Linked DNA regions of Macaca fascicularis. The protein of the gene in region 2 interacts with the protein of the main gene of each other region in a biochemical or structural test. Links are inferred from orthologs where the notes say so. Each region holds a gene or a part of one and is shown on either strand. Other genes may lie near its edges.

Region 1 (3,654 bases), on a different chromosome or scaffold from region 2:
AAGCAATGCACAACATATAAAAAGTGAACACAATGGCTGGAAAAATAGTGATATTTTACATGGCAAAACCACACGTAAAAATAACCTATTCTGTATAACTAACTACTGTCAGAATCAGTGTTACTGGCAATTTGATCACTAGAATTTAAAAAAGGAAGTGCTGAATTTTAAATTGAGCTGATAAAAATATATAAAATAAAATAAAAATAAAAAAGGAAGTGCCTTCTGATTTGATTATGTGTATTATTCAAATCCTCACTTCTTTTCATGGAATGATGTTTATATGTGAAGAATAAGAGATACATTAATTAAAAAATTCATATCTACTTTTGATCCACCAGTAATGTTTCTTATGATTAAATATTTCTAATAAAAACAGTTTTGCTTTTCACTAACTCCCCCAAACAGTAAAAAGTATGCTTATTTTGGAACTAATATGCTAAATTAAAAATGAATCGAATGCCAATATAAACAGAAAATGGGAGAGCAAAACACAGACAGTTGAGCAAGGAGAGGCACCAGACGGAGAAACGTTATACATAAAGAAATAGGAAAAAGAACACAGACATTAATACAATGGAAGATGTGTAGCTTTTTAATTAAAAATTATCACAGATGCAATTCTATAAAGTAGTTAAACACTTTGCACAATGAATTTCAAAGTACACAACCTTCATGTTTTTTCTATACTTTTTTTTGTTAAATGCAAATAATTTTAAATTATATTTCTACTATGTAAAACGAAACAAAACAAAACAAAACAAAACTATTCCTTGTAGATTTTGAGTTTCCACAGGCATCATTAAGAACCTCAGAGCCTGATAAAATAATACATCCAATGAAAACATGTAATTAATTTTTACCTAAATACACTAGTGTACTTACTTAACTTTTATAATAATAAGATTAAAAGTAATAATACTTTTCTGGGTATGACAACTGTTTAACATAATCATCTTTAAACCACAGTTTTCTTTGGTTGCTCCATTAATATTTTCATCCACATAGTGTAAATAAAATTGTAAATGGCATTCTAGCGTGTAACATTTATAAAGATGAACCAACATGACCAAAAATTTGCAAATGAATCTTAAAAAGTCACTTAAGTAGCAGTGTATCTTCTACCAACTGTGTAACTGGTGGCCTGAGGTTGTCACTTACTAGAATTAGTGCTGTCATCCTTGGTTCCATCGAGAGCTCCATCGGGGTGCATTTGCAAGTAGTAGCCTTGCCTGCAATATAACCTGGTCACTATACCCTTGAGCTGGGGATCTGAAAGGCAAACATAGTTATCATAAGCCTCACAGTGTGTCACCAAGTTTCCTTTTACTTTTCTGTTTCTCTTTCTTTTTTCAGAAGAGGACATTTTATACAAGTAGCACATTTTATTTTGTCTCTCAGATTCTTCTGTGCTTTATCAAACCTGCAGTATTCTATTTATAGAAGGTAAAGGAAATGCAGTAGTAAGCCACAGAAACAGGCATTTTATAAAACTAGTATATGCATATTTAAATTATTAATGAAAACTATTAAACTAATTAAGCTGTCAGTTGAATTATTAGTTTAAACGATAAACTAATTAATATAACCAATATTAGCACTCATGATGGCAGTTATAAGAGTTTTGCAAACTGGTGACTCTCAGAAATTTTATTAAAAGGTTTTTTAATGGAGTTCTCCTTTTACTTAAGTTGACAAGTATTCCCGAAATTAAAAACAAACAAAACAAAAAATACCTATATTTTAAAAACATTCATACTAACATTTGATACATATTCTTAGGAAAAGCCCCAATTCAGAGAACACCCCTGGATGTTCAAAGGGTCATTGTTATTTCCACGGAAGTATCTGTGCTACTTAGACATTATCCACAGGAAAATGGAAAACTCTACTTGTGAGCTAGGGGAAACACAACAAACCCATGCATATGAGGTCAGCTCTGAGGCAATCGAATAGAGAAATTAGACAAGTTAAACAGATAAACTCATTAACTTGTGTAACTAAAAAGGACAGTCAAATTATACAATATGAAATCTGATTCTTTGTCAACGGGCATTGAGATAGAGGGCAGTGGAAGTTTATTTAAACAAAAAGGGAAATCATGTGGTAATAGATCCTCGTTTGATGATTCATTGAAAAGACATCCACTCTAGTAATCCAGTGCTTCACAAAGAGTCAGTTGTACCTTTGAAAACAAATATTTGCATGTGGTTTTGCAAAAGCCATCCCCATCTCAGGGACAGATTGGATGTGGGACATCATAATCTTCACCATGGCAACTGGCATCTCTCCGCAACAGCTGAATAGGCCATGCTAATGCAACCCGGCTGTCAAAACAGTCGGACGTTACTGAGTAATGAAACCTAGCACCTTGTAATCGATAGAAAAATTGTGGTCTTGCAAATAGGTGAAGACAAAAAAAAATTTTTTGAGAGCTATCCTTAAACTCTTTATTAGTCCTGAAGAAATTACAAAGAATTTCAATATCTATTTCTATGCACATCATTTAAAACTGATCATCTGAGACATGACTCCATTGTACATAGACTTGCTTCATAGATGGTATAAGACTGGAAAAATCCTTTTGGAAAAGAATGCATGAACAGCAGAGCATCACAACATCAGTATGACTAGCCACATTAGAATATGAAAGCTTTTGAAAGAGTAGGATTTAAAAAATAAATTTCTATGTGATTATTGGATTGTGTTACATATATTCCTTATTCTGTAGCATATAACTTCCCAAATCACATAATTCTAAGATATGCACTAGCGGAAAAAAATACTAGTGTGCGACTGGGCTAAGTACTAAAGACTTCTTTCTTAGTTTTGCTGTATTTTATTTATGCTCTTCCCTGAAAATACGTAGCATGGAAAAGAAGAGAACAAAAGCAAAAAGAGTAAAAACTGTGAAAAAGAGAATTTTTTATTATTCTCTTGTCAAGAAAAAATACTGAGAATATTAGTGATTGACGATTTTTCTGTAAAACCTTTATGTTCTGACATCACTTATTCCTAAGCAATCTTCTATTTGAGCTACTATGTCTTCTGAAGTTGAATTAACTAGATCAGGTGAGGCAGTGAGAAGCCACCTACCCACCCACTCACACGCACTCTCATGCTTACACAAACAGACCCCTTTGGGATTATGCCTCATTTTGGATGAGGGAGCACAAATAAAATGTAAAATTATGTTTTTCTCCTTTAACTTCAAGAAAATACAACCAAATTGATTTTGATTCATCTGGTTGCATACGGTTCGATGTTTTTCCTTTTTAGAAATCATAACGCCATTGATTTTATTCTTCTCAGGTGCCAGGCATTGTTAGAAGCACATTCTATTTTTAACTCTTGGATCCTCACCATTACCTTACTTAATAGAAGCCCACTTAGAGGATGAAGAAATGGAGATACAGAGCAATTGATAGTAACAATATGACAAAAGGCACATAACCAGTAAGTCAATAGCTGGAATCTGATCACTCGGCTCTGGACCCTGCCCACTTAACTGCTACCTGATGCAGCCTCTACAAGTGGAATAATTGAACTAAAATGTCTTCAACACTAAAAATAAAATGCAAATCAATCTGTTTAAAAAACCAAAACCAACTTACATTTTGAAGATTAACCACCACTGTGTCTAAACCCAAATCC
Region 2 (3,654 bases):
CTAATGGGCCGAGTTCCTCTGTAAGGGCACTATTTGCATTTTGAACAGGACTGTGTTTCCTTGTGCAGTACTCCTTCCTATTGTGGGCACTCAGTATTCTCAATGGTTGAATGGTTTCACTTATCCTCAACTCACATTAAATGGCAGTAGTTATCTCCCAACCATTGTGAGAAAAAAATCCTCTCTCATTTTTCTAAATATTCCCTATATACCCCTTTCATAAAAAAAAAAGTTTGATTTTGGGCTAAGACAAGTATAAAGAAAAGAATACAAGACTGCAGCTTATTTATCTACTGGTCCTCAAATAGCATTAACAGACACATTGTGTCTCTGAAATCAGGTCCAAGTTGCAAGAAATCCCATCTTTTTTTTTTTTTTTTGAGATGGAGTGTCACACTATCACCTGGGCTGGAGTGAAATGGTGCAATCTCGGCTCACTACAACCTCTGCCTCCCGGGTTCAAGCGATTCTCCTGCCTCAGCCTCCCGAGTAGCTGGGATTACAGGTGCCCACCACCATGCCCAGCTAATTTTTTGTATTTTTAGTAGAGATGGGGTTTCACTATGTTGGCCAGGCTGGTCTTGAACTCCTGACCTCATGATCCACCTGCCTCGGCCTCCCAAAGTGCTGGGATTACAGGTGTGAGCTACCGCACCCAGCCCCATCTTTTTTTTTTTTTTTTTTTTTTTAGACGGAGTCTTGCTCTGTCACCCAGGCTGGAGTGCAGTGGCATGATCTCGGCTCACTGCAACCTCCACCTCCCAGGTTCAAGCAATTCTCCCATCTCAGCCTCCCGAGTAACTGGGATTACAGGCATGCGCCACCATACCTGGCTAATTTTTGTGTTTTTAGTAGAGGTGCGGTTTCACCATGTTTGCCAGGTTGGTCTCGAACTCCTGGCCTCAAGTGATCCACCCGCCTTGGCCTCCCAAAGTGCTGGGATTATAGGCATGAGCCACTGCATCTGGCCAGGAAATCCCCATCTTGAGTGACGCCCTTCCTTATTCTTTTGCAATAGGATGAGTTTTAAAAGGATATGACAATATGACATAAAGGATAGTAGGGAAGAAAAAAAAGGCAGAAGGAAACTAGGTTTTAGATTATGTACATGCAACCCACTATTACAGAGTTTTCATCTTTATTCTGTTAACTGCAAAATGGGCCGGGTGCGGTGGCTTGCACCTGTAATCCCAGCATTTTGGGAGGCCAAGACAGGCAGATCACCTGAGGTCAAGAGTTCGAGACCAGCCTGGCCAACCAACATGGTGAAACCCTGTATCTATTAAAAATACAAAAATTAGCGGCCGGGCGCGGTGGCTCACGCCTGTAATCCCAGCACTTTGGGAGGCCGAGGGGGGCGGATCACAAGGTCAGGAGATCGAGACCACGGTGAAACCCCGTCTCTACTAAAAATACAAAAAATTAGCCGGGCGCGGTGGCGGGCGCCTGTAGTCCCAGCTACTCAGGAGGCTGAGGCAGGAGAATGGTGTAAACCCAGGAGGCGGAGCTTGCAGTGAGCCGAGATCGCGCCACTGCACTCCAGCCTGGGCGACAGAGCGAGACTCCGTCTCAAAAAACAAAAACAAAAACAAAACAAAACAAAACAAACAAACAAAAAAATTAGCTGGGCGTGGTGGCTCATGCCTGTAATCCCAGCTACTCGAGAGGCTGAGTCAGGAGAATTGTTTGAAGCCACGAGGCGGAGGTTGCAGTGAGCTGAGATTGCGCCACTGCACTCCAGCCTGGGCGACACAGCAAAACTCTGTATCAAAAAAAAAAAAAAAGAAACAGCATGAATCACAAATATTTCATGAGAAACATTCAACCTGGGGGAACTCTAGGCTGTCCAACAGAAAGGTAAGAATTAACTCAGAGATTTGAAATAGAAACTTCCCTTAAAAGAGGTTTCTTCATGCCTGAGGGGACAAGTTTTTCATTTTCAAAGTAACTGGTATCACCAAATGACAAACAGAAAACAATGGACTGTCATAAAATTTCTAAGCTGTAAGACCCTTAGCAATCACTTACACTAACTTCATTACAACCAGCAAAGTTAAATGACTTGTCCAGAGTCACCAGTGTAGCCCAACAGAACGTTACTGACCCTATTTTTATCTGTACAACCTGCTTGAACAAGTCCAAATGTGTTACAAATCTCAAAAATGTTGATATATTTATACTCCAAGGTCCTTATGGAAATTCCATCTATATAGTGCCTTGCACAAAGAGGTGTTTAATATTTCTTAAACAGAAGCCCTAACGGTGGCTCACGCCTGTAATCCCAGCACTTTGGGAGGCCACAGTGGGAGGATCACTTGAGGCCAGAAGTTGCAAGACCAGCCTGGGAAACAGAGTGAAACCCCAACTTTCCAAAAAGTAGAAATATTAGCCAGGTGTGGTGGTACATGCCTGTAGTACCTACCTCAAAAACAAAAGAAAAGAAAACAAGCAAAAAAAAAAAAACAAACCCTGAGCCCAAATTTCCAAAAGGAGATATGCTGCAGAGGATAAACAGTAGGAAGTAGATAGAGATAGCAGATTCTCAGGTCAGACAAGAGGCCGTCAAGGTTGTAAGAATCTACAGCTATACATGACTGAGCATTCAAGAAACAGGGATGAGAACTGAGAGAATTCACTTAACATCAAAAACCAGCTGACTGTGGGAAACACAACAGTTAGATCTTGTATAATGTCTTTACTAAATGTCTCTCACACAGAATGTCTCCCACACAGAATGTCCCTAACCCTGTATATGCTCATGCAAACTCTATGGCCAAAGGAAAAGAGGTATTACTCACCAACTGATACAAGTTTTCCCAATAGTCCTGGGTCATAAGGCGAAATAATGCCAAGAAGGCCCAGCTAAAAGTGTCAAAGCTTGTGTAACCATAGTTGGGGTTCCTTCCTGCTTTCATACACTGGTATCCCTCTGGGCATTGCCTAAAGAAAGAAAGGGAAGTTCAGGACTTTTAACATAATTCCACCAGCCGTGACCTTGGAGATAACAAATAACATAATTCTATTTAATCCACGACCTTGGAGATAATAAATAACCATTGATAGAGCCAGGACAACAAATTGGAAGAAAAAGAAGGAAATAAGCAGCTAGCCAACTTCTGGGGACAGCCTAGGATCAGAATCACCTGGCATGTTCTTTAAAAATGCAGATTCCTGTGTCCTTACCCAAATCTAGGAATTAAAAGTTCTGGATATGGGATCTATGAATCTGCATTTTTAAGAGGTATGCCAGGTGATTCTTATGCGTGCCAAAGCGTGAGAAGTACTGTTCTAGATTCATATTAATGTGCAATTCAATCAAATTTAACTTCACTACTATCCCAAATGACAAACGGCTAGAAGTTCCTTTTTTTTTTTTTAGACAGAGTCTAGCTCTGTCGTCCAGGCTAGAGTGTCATGGCATGACCTCGGGTCACCGCAACCTCTGCCTCCTGGGTTCAAGCAATTCTCCTGCCTCAGCCTCCCAAGTAGCTGGGATTACAGGCGCCTGCCACCACGTCTGGCTAATTTTTGTATTTTTAGTAGAGAAAGGGTTTCACTGTGTTGGCCTGGCAGGTCTCAAACTCCTGACCTCGTGATCTGCCTGCACTGGCCTCCCAAAGTGCTGGGATTACAAGCATGAGCCACCGCGCCCGG

The links. The genes of interacting proteins can lie anywhere in the genome.
Region 1: the proteins of SCN8A (region 2) and FGF14 form a complex in vitro, tested with the Homo sapiens proteins (2 studies listed by BioGRID). The link is inferred for Macaca fascicularis from reciprocal best matches to the Homo sapiens genes SCN8A and FGF14.

Annotation. Positions count from the first base shown.
Region 1 is NC_088391.1:92,713,624-92,717,277, forward strand, and holds part of FGF14 (fibroblast growth factor 14), read right to left. Parts: intron 1,273-3,654; coding exon 1,162-1,272; intron 1-1,161. UniProt on the Homo sapiens protein: Probably involved in nervous system development and function.
Region 2 is NC_088385.1:58,542,516-58,546,169, reverse strand, and holds part of SCN8A (sodium channel protein type 8 subunit alpha), read right to left. Parts: intron 2,941-3,654; coding exon 2,799-2,940; intron 1-2,798. UniProt on the Homo sapiens protein: Pore-forming subunit of a voltage-gated sodium channel complex assuming opened or closed conformations in response to the voltage difference across membranes and through which sodium ions selectively pass along their electrochemical gradient.